2 linked regions of the Mytilus edulis genome follow. Each later gene encodes a partner of the first gene's protein in a complex. Links are inferred from orthologs where the notes say so. Each region holds a gene or a part of one and is shown on either strand. Other genes may lie near its edges.

The links. The genes of interacting proteins can lie anywhere in the genome.
Region 2: integrator complex subunit 1-like (region 1) and integrator complex subunit 12-like share a complex: the UniProt entries of both Homo sapiens proteins name them as parts of the integrator complex. The link is inferred for Mytilus edulis from reciprocal best matches to the Homo sapiens genes INTS1 and INTS12.

Annotation. Positions count from the first base shown.
Region 1 is NC_092352.1:85,421,198-85,431,888, forward strand, and holds the start of integrator complex subunit 1-like, read right to left. Parts: upstream 4,251-10,691; 5' UTR 4,138-4,250; coding exon 4,107-4,137; intron 978-4,106; coding exon 711-977; intron 1-710. UniProt on the Homo sapiens protein: Component of the integrator complex, a multiprotein complex that terminates RNA polymerase II (Pol II) transcription in the promoter-proximal region of genes.
Region 2 is NC_092350.1:30,143,469-30,154,126, forward strand, and holds the start of integrator complex subunit 12-like, read right to left. Parts: upstream 4,648-10,658; 5' UTR 4,483-4,647; intron 980-4,482; exon of another isoform or gene 856-979; intron 1-855. UniProt on the Homo sapiens protein: Component of the integrator complex, a multiprotein complex that terminates RNA polymerase II (Pol II) transcription in the promoter-proximal region of genes.

The DNA.
Region 1 (10,691 bases):
AATAAATACAATAGGTAGGTCTTGTCACAAGAGAGGCCATCTGGGATAATGGTCGGGAAATTTGGACTGCCACTGGAAAATGAGGGTATATTGAATAGGGACAGAAATTTTGCCTTGCAACAGGCCACATACGGACCTATATATATATGTTTAAAGATTCTTATTACATTAGGTTGAGGGAAACATAAGTTTATAAAGGGCATAATTCAATTAATTAAGGTAAAAGTGATGCAAACAAATTCAAAGGAGTAGCATTTTTGACAAAAACCATCTAAAAAGTGACATATTATGGCATAACTGATAGATTTTTCATATTTAAGCTTGAATTGGAGCGTTTTCAGCAACTAAATCAGCTAAAATATTTACATATACTAATTGATTCGACTAAGTAGACACTTAAGTGCTTAAAAAGTGTCCAAAATCTTTCATCAGATGAACCTGAAATTTGAGGCCAAAATCAGCCTTTACCGGACCTACTCCTTTGATCTGTGTTTTGTGGTTATAAGCATTAATGTGTATAAGTTTAATAACATTTGGTGGAGTTAAATTGAAGTTAGTCTTAGAGATTGCCAACCAATTTTGGTACAACAGGGAAGTATTAATTTGCAACACTTATAAATTGTAATAAAAAGTTAACAGTACAAAAATGTCATTCAAAATGCCTTTATACAACTCAGATCCCTTTTCCAATTTGAGATTTTTAACTATACCTTCAACAGCCAGCTCTTCATATTGACTAACAGAACTAGGAGCTGGTGAACTCCTCCTATCAGTATCAGTTCTTCCAAGGGGAGTAAATGTCTGTCCATGAGATAAGATTTTTGGCTTCTTCACTGGAGGTGCACCAGAAATCCCTGGAGCACCCTCTCTTTTCTTTTCCGGCTTTTTACTGCTAGACTGTAATCTTGGGAGGTCACTGTCTGCTGGTGACTTACCCTTACCAAGTGCTATAAAGTCACCAGGAGGTGCAATATGTACTGCAAAATATAGAGAGAAAAATTATAAAATCAAATTGTACACAGAACTATTCACAGTGTAATGTTTCCTTTTTTGTCACTTTTGTTTTGACATGCCTTGTTTTGGAATTTTTATAGTATATAATGGGGTAGAAATCACATGTATATTTCCATTGCATGAAGGAAATATTCAGTTTTGTCCTTGGAAAGACATTATTGACCTAACAGATAGCCAATGGAATGTTGCATTAACAATGCTGGATAAGCAAAACAAGTTAACATATTTTTAGTGTATACTTTTTTGGTTTCACACTCAATGCAGTGTGATATATGCATATATGAACAAGAATTCTCTCTTCAAGCCAGTTTTAACACCACTTTTAAGCACCGCATTTAGGCTATTTCGTGGGGGCCAGTTTTTAATGGTGGACGAAGCCGGAGTGACTGGAGAAAACCATAGACCTTAGATGGGAAACCCAAACTACGAACAGTGGTAAATTATCCTGCAGATTTGATACAACTGTTCCCCAATCCCAATCTTAACAAAAACAAACCCTTTAAATGCACAGAGAGAAAAATCGGTTAAGCATAACACACGAAGGAGTGAATCTGCACCATTGCACATTTGAAACAATTAGTGCCATCAGACATTAAGATTAAGGATTGTGGATATACATGTACACAAATCTCAAGTTGGTTTACAATTTAAACAAATCTATAGGACTGAGTAACAGTTATTGATTGGCAAAATCAATCTGTGTACATGAAAATAGTTATCAAAGGTACCAGGATTGTAATTTAATACACCAGACGAGCGTTTCGTCGACATAAGACTCATCAGTGACACTCAGATCAAAATAGTTATAAAGCCAAACAAGTACAAAGTTGAAGAGGGTATCCAGTCATTCTGCCCCAAAACTGATCCAGCCCAAAGTCAATCCGGCCCATAGTTGTTCCAGCACACGTCTATCCGGCCCTATTATCATGATTATAAAATATGAATAAAATATGCTCACTATATGGAGGAATTTTTGACAAATTTGAACAGTATAAACGGAATTTGCAAAAAGTGTCGATGATGGATGACAACAGGTAAGTGAAGTATTGGAGTACCAGTTAAACTAAAGAACTATTTTAAATCGATACGAAACTGAGTGTTGTTGTGTCTGTTTGTATAGCAGCTCCAACATATTTTAAAATGTGAAGATATTTTCCATGTTGACTTTGAATGTCATCTTTGTCATGATGAATTTGAATTTATTTACTTCTCATACAGAGTAGCGAAATAAATATTTACAGTCCAATGAAACCCTTAAAATTTAACTCATCATGTCTTGTTTAACCAAATCATTTGTCAATAATTAGTCTATATATAATTGGTTTGTTTATTCAACAATTGTCTAATGATTGTGAACTAAGGTAATGTCACTCATAAATCACTTAATTCAATCAAATCCAATTGATTAAATTAATTAATTAATTGATTAATCAAAGTTACGTAAGCAACAAGGTCTTTATTGTTTGTTCTTTTGTTTGGTGTATATAATTATAAGTAATTGTATTTTTTTTCAGGTAACATCAGAGGCTTTTCTGGGGAGGCTATGGTTTTTTTTGGAAAAAAAAGTTTGTTTCCAGTTTTTGGAGAAAAAAATAATTTGTTTTTGATCAATGTTGATTCTGAGAAAAAAAATTTGTTTGTTTCACCCTCAGCTGCCACTAGATGTAATGCTAAAATTGAAAGAAATTTTTTTTTTTCGACTTGTCACGAAAAAAATAGATTGTTTTTGGCCGCAGGCGAAATAAAAAATTTGTCCAGAAAAAAAACCCATAGCTCCCCCCCAGAAAATCAAATGGTTGCTGCATTATTCCTTCTCTTGAAGCAAAAACCAAACAGGGTCATAATGTCCATCGGAACGTCTCTCTTTTTATCCTTGCAAACATACAATACTTACCGACTTTATATAGACGACCAATCAGCGGACTGCATTTACATGAACTATATTTAGTCAAAGATAAACACTCATTTACATCCTTGTTTATCGCAAGTTTAATCGTGGAAGCTGATGCATTGAACAATTATTTTTTAATATTAACCTGATTATCCTTTTTATCTTATTAATTTTTATTACTCATGCAAAAATAGCCAGCAGGAAAAGGACAATAACCGGCGAAAATCGCCGGCTGCCGGCTTCTAACGACATCACTGGGATCACAGTCAATTGAAAGAAAATGCTAATTACTGCTGATTAATGTTGATGTCTGAATTCTTTTATATACGTTTTAATATAGTTATACCCCATTATCTTGAAAACTTGTAATAAAAACATGATCAAACTGGTTGTTTTATACTCATCTAAAGAAAATATTTTTAAAAGGCCTTTTTTATTTTTTTTACGTACACCTTTTACATTATAATAAAAATCATAAACATTTATGAATTACTATTAATATATATATATCTTTATTTTTATTCCTGATGAATATATATTTTGTTGGGGCCGGATCAACGTGGGGCCGGATCGACGTGGGGCCAGATCAACCCGAAAGCGTTAAAGAGCAGTGATGTCATTTAATAAACAAATTCTTACTGTGATGTAGAATATTTATAGGAGAAAGTGCATGAATGCACCTTATCGCTATTGTCAGCTTTTACTGGACATCACACATGTTCCTAGTCCAACTAATTATGATGTCTTGATAGGCTGTTGGTATTATATTGTTTTGCTTTAGCACCTTTACAGACGTAATACGTCAAAGAAAAAAAAATATAATAGCTTTTCAAAATGTCATAATTATTTGGGCTATGACGTCAATAGTTCCAGCAGCACAGATTCTTAGGTCAATAGGCACAGATTTCCAAATAGCATTAAGGTTATTATACACATTTGAGAGGCTCATTTGTCAAATGTTGGTACGAACACATCTTACATGTATTTCCTACTTTTTGCATCTTCAGCAAATTATCCAATTCCAGAACCCTTACTGAGGGCTCTATTTTCTCATTCTCTTAGACCAATCAGAAAACAAAATGGTCAAATTGCAATATCTATTTGGAATATTTTGCAGAGAAAAGGGGGGTGTCAACCTTCGTAGTACTAATCCACAGACGGATATCGCAATATGGTTCTATTTTTTGTTTTGGTCTTTTACCTTTCCCTTTTGCTGGTCTTTTACCAGACATTTCAGCTGTTCATTTGTCTTACTTAAACGAATTACAAATAAAAGTTTCTCCTTTGCATTTGCCACCTGAAAGCGTTCAAACGACTTCGATTGAGCAACGTCGAGGAAGTGTTTATATTGACAATAACAAAAACCTGACAAACTCAGAAAATAGCTCTGTATATATTTTGTAAATATTTACAAATAGAAAAACACAAAGGTATAAAAATAACAGATATAGGTTTAAACAGCATTCTTCATTGATTGTTAAGATGTTTACCATAATGCTGATCAAAGTGCTTGGCATATGGCGTGGCTATGCTACACTGAACAAAGTCAGACATAATTTTTTTTTATATTTATAAACTAAAGTAAACAAATTATGTATATTTATTTTATTGTCAGTAGACTCTATGAGAAAGGTAGTAATTTCCTTTACCTTCAGACATCAAACTGTCATTCTCGGCTACTGTAACCCAGTGTTAGTCATGTTAGCAGAGGCGGATTTAGGGGGGCCTGGGGACCAGTGACCCCCCCTTTTTGGGGAAAATTTGCTTATATAGAGAATCACTGAAGCGTGACAGGAGTGGGCCCCCACTTATGAAAATTTCTAGATCCACCAGTGGTTAGTCATGTTAGTGTCAAATTGGTTGAACTTTTACCTTGATTTGTCAAAATATCCTTATCATGATGTCAGATGTCTCAACAAAATTTTCTTTAACATCATTTTTGGATTATTTTTTTAGAGTGATGCGTCAAAATCAGCTAGTCGAATATTTGATCGCCTAAAAGAAAGTGTAATTTTATTGTCATGCACTAAAAATTACTGTGAACGTGATTTGGCAAGAACTTTTATTGTTTATATTCATCATGAAGGTACTCCCATTACTAATCTCTACTAGAGGACTAAAGTGGGTCCCCTGATTCCAAAATTTCCTACCCCATATACCCACTCCCTTCCCCTAGGCTATATATAACTCTAAATTCCATTCTTCTAATCTTAGTATATATACTACCACTGGCACTTCACACCCCATACTCCAGCTAAAAAATGTGTCATGTATATTATCCCTTTTTATGCTACTTTGCCTCAAGTTTTTGCCCCTGACTAAATCGTAGTTCTGTTAAGAAACAAAAGTGCATAAATGAAAATATCGTAATACAGTATCACGAATTTGTATCGTCTTACTATATATACATTTTTTTTGTACAAGTCCTTGGTAAAATGAATATAATATGTATTTTTCATTGATCTGACAGTCAGTTATTGTCTGCTGTAAATAAATGAACAATTATATATAAGATAAGATATTTTTATTCCAATTAAAGGGCCCATGAAGAGCAAAACAATTTATTACAATGATTTTTATAATTGTTACAATAATGTTGACACAAATCATAAATATGAATTTAACTATTTCTTAGATGTTAATCTACAACCAGATCAGAGCCATATACATAAAAAAGGCATAAAATATACAATTTTGCCGCAAAAAAATCATTTAATTTGTAAAAAATTATTGTATCAAGCTATTGATACTAATTTTCTCAATATACATGTACAATCAACAAATGAAACTATGAATTTTAACATTATACATCATGTACATGTATATGTATTTCAAGTTAAATTATAAGCTACATGTCAGGACCTTGTAGTTCAGTGGTTGTGGTTTGTTTATGTGTTAATACATATTTTTTTTGGTTCATTTTTTGTACATAAATAAGGCCGTTAGTTTTCTCATTTGAATTGTTTTACATTGTCATTTCAGGGCTTTTTATAACTGGCTATGCTGTAGGGGCTTTGCTCACCATTGAAGGCTGTACGGTGACCTATAGTTGTTAATTTCTGTGTCATTTTGGTCTCTTGTGGACAGTTGTCTCATTGGCAATCATACAACATCTTCTTTTTATATGTTCATGTATCTTAAAAATATATCAATTGCAGTCATAACATATCTCCTTTATCAGTAGCCTATGACGTTTTGTAAAAGTCAAAGATAAAAAATACTTTTGCTTAGTGTTTCTGTCCTTAGTCTTTTTTTATTCCTCAAAATGAATACCCAAACTGTTTTATTTGGACTTTTAGCAAAGTGAATATAAGTGATCATCAATAAATTTCACAACATCATGTATTACCAATCTGTACATAGATTGTCTTCCTTCAAATGCAAAACATACAAATTATAAATAATGAGTTGTAGAACATGATATCCCTGTTTTCAAAGATAACCTTTTTTGCTGATAAAGTGTAAAACTAAACGATATATTTTATTTATCATAGATTTCAATAATGTTGATACATTTCATATTGAACAATTTTCTTATAAAATAAAGAATAACAAACAAAACATTAGCACAAACTGAGCAACTAAAAAACCAAGGAAGTTAATGATGTGTAATTTACTTCCTATATAATTTATACAATACAATATACTGTTGGTTAGGTCCGGAGTGATGGGTTACCCAATTGAACTCAAATAGACCATTACACAATTCGACCAACTGATTTTTTTTCTTCATCGTACTGCTGCTCTATAACATAGTTTATATCGTCAAATCTTTGATATCATATAATTAAAAAAAGAATGTATTTCATTTCATCAAGGATTTTTATCACATCCTTGATTTCATACTCACAAAGTTTCAGATGGTATTGATTAACCCAGTGAACAAGTATGTTCATTGAGTTTGAGTGCAGATGAAAAAGATCTTTAATTTATGCAGATCTGGATGATGCTCTCCATATTTGAAACAGTCTTCACGCTGAGTGGCACCCGAGACAGCCCAGGCTAGTAAAATTACTCTCGGCCTGTAAAAATCATATCTACAGGCCAACAGAATCTAATAAAAAAATTTCAAAAATTGAGCTCCAGGCCTGTAGTTTTTATAGTTCATCGTGAAGACTGTCATATTTGTCATATTTGTATACATATTTATTAATTGTTTAGGCCAATTGTCTATATATATAGTCTTTATTATTTTAAATGGTCATTGTTCTTTATTCTTTATATTTTAGAATCCTATTGTTTTTAAAATCATGAACATGTCTCAGTTTTCTTTATCCTATATGTTTTTGCCAAATTTTCTCCATTCTCTATTCTTAATGTTTTGTTCTTTATTCTCTATTCTGAAAGCCTCACACTATATGCAGCTTCCTGTAGAGGGATGAACATCAATTTCCTGCATAATTCATAGACAATAGACAATATTTATTAGCACAAACACATTTACATTAAGTGGTTTTGGCATGACATTATGTATAAATTGACAATAGTTAAATTGATTATAATTATATATGAATGACAGTGGTATTTACAGGGAAGAAGAAAAAGACTATAAATATCAACAGTTAACACATTATTAATGTTCATGAACAATTAAAAAAAGAACACAAACAAAAATTAGGTTGCATATTAAAAGAAATACAGCTATATAGATGTTCTCAATAAAAAACAATCATTAATATACTTTATGGTGATTTTTATAATGACTGGTAGACTGCAATTTAAAAGTGCAGTCAAATGTTTCAGTGTTATAGCAGACTGCAATTTAAATAAAATTGAAATTAAGATTTTTATTAATATTTTGTATATAGGTATCGGGGGATTCCCTCAATGATGTATAGCATGGACAGATTGAGAAGAAATGGTATTCATCCTCAATTTCTTGTCTGTTACAGGATAAGCATATGCGTTTACTTCTTTCAATGTTTGTATAACCCTCATTCAATTGCTAGAGAATGGGCACTTAGTTTAAATTTACTGAAAACTGATCGGTCAGTTTTGAGATTACATATATATCAATATATGGGGTCCTTTTTCTAATTCTTTTAGTATGACAAAAGAAATTTAAATTTCATATTTATTGATAGAGCAATTTATAATTTGATAAGCCTGGTCATAGATTCTTTGTTGGATAGTATTTATGTGATATTTTAAATTAATAGCATCAAAAGTGAGATGACCAAAACCTAATTTATTTAACCAGTCTTTAACAATGTTAACCCATTTACTTGTTTTCTCTACATTATTATATATTTTATGGACTAAAGTGTTAGGGGAGTTCACAATGTGGTTTAGAAATTTTATAGCTGAAAGCTGAATTATAAAGTACAAAGGGGTTCTGTTTGTCTCAGCTAAACAGGCTACATTTGTTGTTTTGCACTGTACTCCTAAAATTTCATATGTAAATGTTCAAATGGATCTGAATCTTTGAACACTTGGCTTACACCCCAAACTTCACTTCCATAAAGAGTTATTGAAACAACTAAAGTATCAAAATAATTTTTCAAGCATACTGCAGGAATTATCTAAGGAGACTGTTTTTTTTTATTTTAAACCAAGCCTTTCTTCCTTTTTCTATAAGATATTTTTTGAATGACTTAAACTTCCTGAACAATTTATAGTTATTCCAAGGTAACAATATGATTTAACAGTCTCAAGTTGTTCGTTTTCTACTTTAAAATAATTACAATGAGATTTTCCATTAGAATTGAATATTATAATCTTTGATTTTTGTTTGTTTACATCAAGTTTCCATAGGGAACAAAATTTAGTTAATTCTGTATAGCCCTTCTTGGGTTTCAGACAATAGAATAATGCCATCTGCATATAATAATGATGTTAGTTTGACATCTCCTATAATAATTGGTTGAGTGTTTGCATGATCAAGGTCATTTACAAGGCCATTTATATAAATATTAAACAAAGTACATCCCCTTGTTTTACTCCACAATTTGATATAAATTCATGGCTAATACCATTTTGAAATTTAATTCTGCATTTGTTTTCATTATACATTGATTGGATGACATTAAAAAGCTTGCCTGGAAGTCTGTTTTGGAGTAGGATGCAGCATAAACCCTCCTCCCTCCAGACAGTATCAAAGGCTTTTCGGAGATCTATAAACGCTGCAAAAACTTTCTTTTTTTTAGTCTTCTATAATTGTCTACAGAGAAGATATGATCTGCTGTTCTAGCTTTTTCTGTGAAGCCAATCTGATTTTCATTTATCAGATTAATTATTGGTGTTAATAAACTTCATAAGTCTAGTGTGTATAATTTTATGGAATAATTTTCCCAAATTAAAAGTCAATGAGATACCTCTATAATTAGAGGGGTTAGATTTGTTTCCCTTTTTATGAATTAAAGTAATCAGACTTTTGTTCCATAATTTTGGGAAGCTGCCTTTCATAAATACTAGATTGAAAAGTTTTGATAGGGGTTCTAATAATACTGACATACCACATTTAATCATTTCATTAGAAATTGAAACTTTCAAAATATTTATGCTTATTCTCCTGCCCCTTTTCCTCTGTCAATGGCTTGAATCTGGTTTTGAAATATTTGGTTTCAATATAACGCTAGAAAATAACCTTTTTTTTAATGATCTGATACACTATAAAGATACATGTTGTTGGATTTCATCAATGGAAATTTTTCACGATTGATGAGAATTGATGACGTATATCATAATGTCAATAGATATTAATGGTTATACTGATAAAATTTGTTTGTATACATGTATATGTCCACAATTGGGCTTAAGATTTATCTTTTATCTTTGACACCTAAATATTGGACAGTATTTGCAACAAAGCTATGCATCTGTTTATTTATTTACCCTTTTATTTGGATAGTATTTATAGAGACATGTACATAAATATCTATAATTAAAACATTATTTACAACATACATGTAAACACAACAAATACATATCAAGCGTTCTCTGGAAAATTTATTTCTTATTTGATAATCAAAGTTCACTTTTCAACATAACATATATAAGGCAGGCAATGAAAAATTATTAAATCATAGGAAAATTTTGTAACCATCTAGACTTTACACGGGGGGGTCTCAACATGGGATTTTGGGTACAGGTGTGCAGCTGGGATTTTAAAAACAACCCCCATTCATATATTGAATAATTGTGAAATCCCTACCTATACATATATTTCACAGCGAAATCATAACCCATTCATATATTTATCAGCTCAAATAGTACCTATATCGGTCAATTACTACCTATTGATATATTTCCTCGGTAAAATTGCACCCCATTGATATATTTGACAGATCAAAAAAGGGACCCATTCCAGCGGCACATATGTATATACCTTTATATAGGAAGAGACCCCCCCGTGAGACTTTAGGGTATGTTGCATCATGATGAATTTCTGGAACAGATATATTTCTCTTATATCTGATTTATATACTTTTCTCAACTTGTTATTTTAGGGGCATTATGTTTTCTGGTCTGTGCGTCCGTTCATCCGTCCGTCCGTCCGTCTGTCCGTCCGTCCGTCCGTCTGTCTGTCCGTCCGTCTGTCCGTCTGTCTGTCCGTCCATTCGTTCGTCCGTCTGTCCCGCTTCAGGTTAAAGTTTTTGGTCAAGGTAGTTTTTGATGAAGTTGAAGTCCAATCGACTTCAAACTTGGTACACATGTTCCCTATGATATGATCTTTCTAATTTTAATGCCAAATTAGAGATATTACTCCAATTTCACGGTCCAATGAATATAGAAAATGATAGTGCGAGTGGGGCATTCGTGTACTGAGGACACATTCTTGTTTAAA
Region 2 (10,658 bases), on another chromosome or scaffold:
GTCTAGATTTTTAATATTCTTATAGTCATTTTACAAAGTGATGTTAATTAAAATACTACAATAGGAAACAATGTGACAATGCATATGATTGTATTTAGTAGTGTCAACCCTCTGATTATGACCCGTGTATATAGCAAATCCTAAATACACCGTTTGGTAGTGCGTCTGACAGATGTGGAATGTACAGATAAGGTAATAAGTAACATAAGACATATATTCTTATAATCATGATAATGACATGACTAAAAGGAAATTGCATTCGATAGTTCTGCAACTTATTAATTTGTCTACTTGCTTATTATTTGAAACAGTAATCAATGTAAAAGGGTAAAATTTCAGTATACCCTATCAAGTATATATACCCTAATATAAGTTTGAATTGTAGCTTATAAGTTTCTTCGGTATAAGTTTATTAGATGAACAAAAAAAAAGGTCTTTAGATTTAGTACATGTAGTACATGTACATGAAGTATAGATTTTGAGTTTCAGAAAATTTATAACTTTTCTGGATATTACTATTCATTTTTTTTTTCATTCCCACAGATGGCGCCAAAAAAATCTAAGTTGGGAAAGAGGTTCAGGGGCGGATGCAGGAATTTTCGAAAGGGGGGGTGCTAACCCAGGGCACCCAGGGCAAAGGGGGGGGGGTGCAAAACATATGTCCCGATACAAATGCATTGATCGGCAAAAATAAAGGGGGGGTGCGCACCCCCGGAACCCCCCCCCCCCCCCCCCCCCCTGGATCCGCCACTGAGGTTTGAGAAGCTCCCCTCATATAAATAATGTTGTGAGTAGTACCGATTTAAATGGACAATAGATGGACAACAGATGTCTGCAAACAATAGATGATTTTACCTGTGTAACTGAGTGGACCATATCAAATGAAACGTATGCGTTTGTTTATCTAATATCTTAGCTTGCTACCTTCTTCAGACCGGAAAAAATGCTCATCAAAATCAAGGTAGTAGTCTTTATTTTTCTGAAACATAGACAACATATAACTTTTATATAAATGTATCTAGGTCCTGCTATGCCTTAACACTTTCCTTGATGCATTACTTAGTTTGTCTGTACTCATAGAAAATTTTGTGGTGTAAACACTGCCACTGTTTTCCCTTTTTATGAACTTATAGACCATTCAATTAGATATTTATTGGAAAGACTACAATAGAGGCATGATCCATGTACAGACCAGAGGCGGATTTAGAGGGGGCCCAGGCCTCCTCGTTTTCTGGTAAAAATTTGGTTGATTTATTATATAGGGAATTACTGAAGCATGACCTGAGCGGGCCCCCTCTTAGGCAGTCAGTGACAGAGGCGGATGAAGGTGGGGGGGGGGGGGGGGGGGGGGGGGGCAGGGGGCCCCTTTTTTGGAAAAAATTTGGTTGCTTATATAGGTAATGACTGAAGCGTGACTGAAGCGGGCCCCCTCTTAGAGCAGTCAGTGGGCCCCCACTTATGAAAATTTCTAGATCCGCCACTGAGTGGGTCCCTGCAGACAGTAATATATTCAAACAACATATAAGCAAAATATATATATCAGGGTTCTCACTAGGAATTTTTCAAGGTGAGTCCTGGGACACATCAATTTTAAAAATGGTGAGTCCCAAAAGATTTTGATGAGTCCAGGAAGTATGTAATTTTTTGTGTCTAAATAAAATGAAATATGACGAAATAAAACTAAAACGATGCTTGTCGGATTTGTAGTTTTCATAATATATATATATATCAATTCTTGGTGTATGGCCACATTTTTAAAAAAATGTTGGTTTGCCAAAGCCAGACTGCCATATAAAAGACTGGGTCTAAAGGTAGGTTATGTTTTTCTTTTTTTTTCTTTGGGGTGGGGGAGGAGGAATGTTAATTGACTATTTAATAATAAACTCAGTAAAAGAAGTTTTCTTTGTTCTTATTGGTGATTTTTTAGTTATAAACTGGACATTTGGTCCAGTAATGATTAAGATACTTATACTAGACTTAAATAACCCCAAAAAAATATAGAATAACTTTACAAATTAACCCCATCTCCTTTACACCCTTTTCTAATCAGTGGCAGATCCAGAACTTTTTGTAAGGTGGGCCCACTCCAGTCACGCTTTAGTGATTCCCTATACAGGGTTGTCAATAAGATTTAAAGTAGGAGGTTAAATAATAAAAGTAGCAGGCAACACCGGCGGACGGCGTAGCCGTTCGGCGCGACGAGCTTGCTCGTTGCCCTTCACGGCGAGGGGTCTGAATTTTTTTTTAAAATGGTGCAAAATCCTGCACCCTGGGGGGCTCCTGAACTCTAATTTTGTTCTTCGCAAACACCATTTTTTTAATGATGATAAGGTAAATGAGCAGCAAGATGGTCATATTTTCTATAAAGTTGATCACATATCATCAAGACTTTCAGCTAACAAGTTATTGAAGTTGTTTGCAGGTTTTTGAGGAAAATAATGAAGGCATGACTCTGTAAGACATGGTGATCATTCAGGAAAAGATTTAAATTTGATTTTATTAGTTGAAAATATTTTTAATTTAACTGTAGACATGCAATTATTCAAATAGTTCTAACCCATAGAAAACATTTTTCAGTATTAATAATTTCAAATACTTATCACAATAAATCAAATGATGAATTCAATGGACTGTTGTTTAAAGGCAAAAAGGATGCACTTTGGTGAAATTACAATAATCAAATAAAATTGATACCATAATTCAGAAGAGCATTAGTTAAGAAGCAAACAAAAGGAAAGAAAGAAATCTAAGATCTGCTTACATTTTGGTATTAAAATGAGTTTTTGTGAGTTAATAATTGAAGTCTTTTATTAAAGAAAGGAAAAATGGGATTATCATGGTCATAGGTCAAAATATTTTACCCTGTATCATAGGGGAAAACCCAGAGATTAAACATCTGACAGAAATTCCAGAACCTGGTCAAAGTACATCCTTGAATGCATAATGCAAGACTCACACTTCTTTATAATCATAGGGAGACATCATCCTCATCCTCATCCTCACTTTTTATTATTATTACTTGGATCAGGTTAGTCAGGGCATGATTGTGTCAGGTGGTGGCATGCTCCTAGTCCTAGTATTTATGACTCTATTTGAAGCTACACAATGACATGCAAACGAGCTATCTCTACATTTTTTTCTTTCATTTCAAAAGAAAGGCCATGGGACAGGTAAACATATGATTTATGATTTATGGTAAAAATAAAGAGTCTGCTGTTAAGAGGCTCTATCACTTGAAAACAAGAAAGTGAATATCACTTAATGAAAATAATAATGTGATGTCTGCTTTTACGAGACAAGACATTGCTCTTTTTTTCATTTCATGGTAGGACCACGATCATGCACTTTCATGAACATGACCAAGGAGGGTGTCTCAATTATTTGAATGCAAATGTCATAGAACAAAACTTTTTTTCACTTTGTTGTTGATTGAAAAAAATCTGAAATTATTTTCATTTCTCTGACTATGCTATTGACTGGTTACAAAATCTCGTTATTACTATGAATGCATCCTTTTCCTGGTTTCAGTACAAAATCTTATAGTACTTTGCAGCGAAATCAACAACCAGGATCTATTTTACCGGAAATTCAATTTTATTAACCAATCAGAAATGCCGTTATATATTTCTCTTGATTGTCCTAGATAGTGACCGACGATCTAAAACTAAAAGTACGATTTATATTTTTTTGACATCAGAAAAACAACCGATGGGAATTTGATTATAAACGACCATTTCAATCGGCAATCGGTTCTTAATGAATACGCTGCTATATAAGCAACCAAATTTGCCAAAAGGGTCCCCTGGATTCGCCTATAGATGTTAATTAAATTGGTGTAGATGAAATTATATATATCAAGTTTAACTATTCTCCTAGCACTCATCTTGGGACTCAGGGGATACAATCAGGACGCGTCCCAGGAATTCATGGGTTTCAAAAATTATGCATCCTGCTCGATTGCCAGAGGCGGATTTAGGGGGAAGGGGCCCGGGCCCCCCCTTTTTGGGAAAAAATTTGGTTGCTTATATAGGGAATCACTGAAGCGTGACTGGAGCGGGCCCCCTCTTAGGTCAGTCAGTGGGCCCCCACTTATGAAAATTTCTGGATCCGCCACTGATTGCCATGCATCCAGAATGTGTATACGCGTCTTTACGAGAACCCTGTATATGCATGTATGCGTAACAACAAGTCATTCTATGAGTAAATTCCATGAATACCATAATGTCTTTTTTTTCTTTTTTTCCTGAAATGCATAAAAATCAATTTTATGGTTTTCTTCAGAAAATTTCTATTTATTGCATGTTATTTTATAACTGAGATGTGAGTAACAGCACAGGCATTTGTTTCTGTCAATATGGGATTTACATATATAGAAAACCCCATATTGATAATCATATTGACAGAAACAAGTGCCTGTGAGTAACAGTTAGCCTCAGCAGTTAGCCTGAACATTGTTGTTGTATAATGCTATCCTAGACTTACCGATTAGATAATGTTAATGCTGCTATTAATCTACCCACAGAAGTGACTGTCAGTAATAAATACGTCAGTTAAACTAACATTTACTGCAAAACAGTAACATTTGATGAACAGATAAATTACTTTTTTTACAATTTCCACAAACCGGAAGTTACTTTTCTAAACCCCGAAACGGTTACGTTCAGATTGAGATGAACAGCAAGCGGAGTGGTGTTAATCATTTTATGAAAATATCTTTTCAAACAAAATCAAACATATTGTAAACCAATCATAAAGTTTTATTCAAAGTACCATGTCTATAGAATTTGCACAATATTATGAAAGATAAAAATACATTGGTTAATAGTGTGACGTCCAGTGACAAATATTTCACTTTTATATCCAACCGAAATAGAAAACAATTTATAAATTACGTGATTTGATTTTGATTCTAGAAAAATCCATTTATAGGGCCATAGAGCTTCTTGAACATAAAACGAAAATGAACAAATCACTTCACAGAACATTTAGAATTAAGCAGCTGGTTTACTGACCGGTCACGGTTACGAAATGCCAAAAAAAGAAAAGGAAACAAACCAAGTGACACAAATATTCAACAACGATAGCGTATGTTAAACTCACTACGAGATGGGTCAACTTTTTCAAAAAGAATCCGTGGTGAACTTTTTAACAAAGTTGAAATTTTGACATTTCGACATACTCGAAATTTCAACTTTCAGTCAAAGGAGTCAGATCCGCCGGTAAGGGCCGATTATGGCCTCACATTTCAGGTTCATCTGATGCCCGGAAAGAATTTGGACACTTTTTTTAACACTTAAGTATCTACTTCAGTCGATTCAATTAGTTTATGTGAAAGATTTGAACTGATTTGGTCAGTCACTTTTCAGATGGTTTTGTCACAAATCACGTTCACTCTCAAACTTTGTATATGTTATGTAATATCATCAAATGAAACTAACATAATAAAAGTCATTAAAAAGGAACACAAATGCGGCCACTTTCATTTGAAGACGGAAACCGTCTAAAATCTAACTCAAATTATAAAATTGATAAGATTTCAGTTATTTATCCGATGACTTAATGATGTTAATATCCGATATATGTGCATCATTTGTATTGTCAAAAAACAGCCCATATTTATGTAATATAAGCATTCTACTTTCCAATAAATAGCCAAAAGTTTACATTTTAAAAATTATGTAAAACTGCTATGGTTTGGGGCCAAAAGGGGGTCTTAATGGACCTACTCCTTTCACAAAGTTTTGACTTTAACTTGAAATTTTGCCTTTTATATATTTAAAAATTTCGACGTCAAAATTTCGATTATAAACGTACTCGAAATTTCGACTTTAAATTTCAACTGACCTTTGGACATATAGATATGACGACTTTTATAAGCATATAAGTATTACAATTTTAGGAGGATACATCGACGCACATTTTTCAAGCGTCATCCCGCCATTGTGCATTTTTTGACAATATTTATTCAGAAATTGGTTTTATTCTCAAATTATGATATGAAATTTTCACTTTGAAGGGCTTATATGCAAGAATGGATTAGCATTTGGAAAGGATTGTTGGTATAGCAATTGTATATTGTTTATATGAGAATTTGAAGCTTTGTTTTTAATCTCCCTTTTTGAAGGATTTATGAGGTAGACATTTAGAGTTTGTAAAGCATAGCAATTGTGAACTAATATCGATCTGTATTGAAATATTTGCCACTGGAAGTCAAGCATCCAAGAATCATTCAATGATTTGTGTCCGGGATAACATGTAGCTGTTCTTCGCACTTGTTTCAATATGAATGTTTATTGTATTTTCTGATGTGCATGGGTCCCAAAGAGTGCAACAGTATACCACATTGCTTGTCCGACTATCGTTTGATAAGCAATTTATAGGCTTGTAGCTATTTTTGTATGTTTTGCCAGATGAATGATATACACTAGTTAACTGTTGCGTCAATATGTTGTAAACAGGGGGTCCCAACCAAGGACAAAAAGGGGGGGGGGGTCCAACTATATATCCCCATTCAAATGCATTGATCGTCAAAAAAAGGGGGGTCCAACCCCCGGAACCCTCCCCTGGATCCGCCACTGTGTAAAGGTGTGTTATATTTGAGGCCTGAATACTGTATTATTCCTAATCATTTGTCAGTTTGGACTTAAATTGTTCTTAAATGCGGCCATGCAAGTTGTAGTAAATCTGCATACGTTTTTTTATTCTAAGCCGAGAAACTGAGGATGTAAATATTGAATAACGTCATGAGACAGTCTCGTCTACAATTGAAGTTGGTTGGATGTCTTTATGAAGCTTTTTAATGTCTTAGTTTAAAATAATAGGCTGGTATTAAATGATGATGCTTACTATACAAAACCACATGCTCCGCAGGGCGCAGCTTTATACGACCGCAAAGTTCGAACCCTGAACATTGGGGCAAGTATGGACACAACATTCAAGCTTGATACAGCTCTGAATTTGGATTGTGATTAAATAGTTGACACAACACAGGTTTCTGACACATGATGAATGTGGTCTAAGAACTTAAACTTTAAAACTTTAAATTTTAAATTGGACATTACCTATTATGGTCCAATATCCAAAATCTAAATACATGGTTAGATTCAGCATATCAAAGAACCCGAAGAATTCAATTTTTGATTGAAATCAAATAAAGTTCAAATTTGGACCCTTTAGACCTCAATGTGGACCAATCAGATAACCGGGCCCAAACATCAAAAATCTAAATACATGGTTAGATTAAGCATATATCAGAGAACCCCATATATACAATTTTTGTTGAAATCAAACAAAGTTTACCGCAATTTGGACCAACTTGAAAACTGGGCCTATAATCAAAAATCTAAGTACATGTTTAGATTCAGCATATCAAAAAACACCAAGAATTCAATTTTGTTGAAATCAAACAAAGTTTAATTTTGGACCCCAATTTGGACCAACTTGAAAACTGGGCCAATAATCAAAAATCTAAGTACATGTTTAGATTCAGCATATCAAAGAACCCCAAGAATTCATTTTTTGTTAAAATAAAACTTAGTTTAATTTTGGACCCAAATTTGGACCAACTTGAAAACTGAGAAAATAATCAAAAATCTAAGTACATGTTTAGATTCAGCATATCAAAGAACCCCAAGAATTCATTTTTTGTTAAAATAAAACTTAGTTTAATTTTGGACCCAAATTTGGACCAACTTGAAAACTGAGAAAATAATCAAAAATCTAAGTACATGTTTAGATTCAGCATATCAAAGAACCCCAAGAATTCATTTTTTGTTAAAATAAAACTTAGTTTAATTTTGGACCCTTTGAACCTTAATGTAGACCAATTTGAAAATGGGACCAAAAAATTAAGAATCTACATACACAGTTAGATTCGGCATATCAAAGAACCCCAATTATTCAATTTTTGATGAATTCAAACAAAGTTTAATTTTGGACCCTTTGGGCCCCTTATTCCTAAACAGTTGGGACCTCAACTCCCATAATTAATCCCAACCTTCCTTTTGTGTTCATAAACCTTGTGTTTAAATTTCATTGATTTCTATTTACTTGTACTAAAGTTATAGTGCGAAAACCAAGAAAAATGCTTATTTGGGCCCCTTTTTGGCCCCTAATTCCTTAACTGTTGGGACCTCAACTCCCAAAATCAATCCCAACCTTCCTTTTATGGTCATAAACCTTGTGTTTAAATTTCATAGATTTCTATTTACTTATACTAAAGTTATAGTGCGAAAACCAAAAGTCTTCGGACGCCGTTGCTGACTACGACGCCAACGTGATACCAATATACGACCAAATTTTTTTTAATTTTTGCGGTCGTATCAAAATCTTGTTTGGCTGTGTTTTAGATACTATTCTAATATGACGTGCTTCTTTCGCTTTGTAAACAACACCGTGATAAAATTCTCGATATATCTATACTTAGCGCAGACTCCAAGATGTACACAAATGGCTGTTTAAATATGCCTCCCACGTAAATCCACATGTATCGTAACCTATGTGTAAACGGTTGTTGATTTCGCCGTATTAACAATTACACTTGAATAAAACCCTACAGAACATTTATTCTGATTCTGATGCATAACAAAAAGAATTTACACATTAGAGAACGGAAAAATGGACAAAAACAAAATAAATTAAAATTCCGCGAAATTCCAGTAATGATTTTTGCGCATTAACGTCATTTCAAAACATGACGTCATACGAATGAAAACGTCAAAGCTGAAGGTTTTTCTATTGCGTTTACCTTCTAAACTCGGATACAATTGCATTAAAATAAAGTATTGAGGTAGGTGTTGCTTGTTTTCTGTTCTATTGCATTAATCGCAAATTTACTGATTTCAGCAAGTCAACATGGCGGCTCCTTGGTTACAACATGTCAACAGTGAATTTGACGGTAGCTTACGATAAAAAATGTAGATTTAAAATGCAAATGTTTGGTTTACTGAGAAGTAAAAAAAGTAATCACATTTTTTTTCTAGCGGTTAGTTAAGAAATCATTCATGCAGGTTTATTAGATTTGTTTTACATTTATCGAACAGTGGGTAAAATAGAACAGCCACACACAAGGTATACCCATCATCGCTTCAGTTTTTTAATGATCGTATTTGTCCTATTAGAATCGAAATAATTCATGGAAGCCATAGATTTGTTGTAAATTTACACATGGCCTGGGCCGTGATATTCGTTAATTTTATCCCTCGCTAACGCTCAGGATAAAATTCGAATATCACGGCCCAGGCCATGTGTAAATTTCCAACAAATCTATGGCTTCCATGAATTATTTCTTAAGTATTCTTTTTAATAATATTCTATGTATATGAAATAAAGTATTAGTGTACTGTATGCCCTGGGGAATATCTAATGTATCATGTTGGTATTTTTTTTTATCAGATTCAGTGTTGTCAAGTCTATTTGATTTCTGTATGGAGAGGAATAATTAGATCCACTTAGTTGTCTTGTCTGAGATGTCATAGTTTTTTTTTTATGTGTTAAGTAAACATATGACGATGATGTGTGGTACTTTATCAAAGTCATGATTTCTAGATTATTTTGTGTATTTTTGTCATTGTTTTGTTTCAGTCAGTCTATACTAAAGAAATACATGCAGTTACTTGGCAGATTAATAGTCCAATACCGAAATAAAGATGCAACTTTTATTGTTATTAACTAATATATATGCTTGTCCATGATCATCATATTAGAAAAGGTAAATTCACAACGAAGTTGGGTTAAACCTGGTTTTATAGCTAGCTAAACCTCCCACTTGTATGACAGTTATAATGAAACAAGAGTATAATTAAAAGTTTTTATACAACTATCACATCAATTTAACATGAACCAAGAAAATGAGGTCAAGGTCAGATAAACCAAATTAGAAATACATGTAAACGTTACATTCAATCCATATACCAAATATGCTTTTAATATTTGACCTATTGCACATTACAGAAACAAACTAACCCAGGAAAACTTAACATTGATTAATGAACCATGAAAATGAGGTTATGGTAAGATGATAATTGCCAGAAACATTTACACCCTACAATCATTCCATAAACTAAATATATTTGAACTATTGTTTAAAATATTAGAAAAACAGACCAAAAAAATATAATATTGGGCAATGAACCATGAAAATTTGGTCAAGGTCAAATAAAACAGACTGACTTGCAAATTGTAAAATATTTTTCTACACCAAATAAAGTTGACCTATTGCAAAACAGTATTAAAACAAATGACCAATACATAAAAACTCAACTATAACCAATGAACCATGAAAATGAGGTCAAGGTCAGATGACACCTGCTAGATGAACATATACACCTTACAGTCATTCCATACACCAAATATAGGAGGCCTATTGCTTATAGTATCTGAGATATGGACTCAACAACTTAACCTTGTTCACTGATTCCATGAAATGGGGTCAAGGTCAAGTTAAAACTGTCTGACAGACATGAGGACCTGCATGGTATGAACATACCGAATTATTTATCCTATTACACTATTGTACTTATAATAAGAGAGGAATTAAGGATACTAAAAATATTGGTTTTTTTTAACAAGTAGTTACTGAACAAAGAAAATGAGGTCAAGGACAATGAACATATGACAGATGGTAACTTTATAACATAAGGCATCTATATCTATAAAGA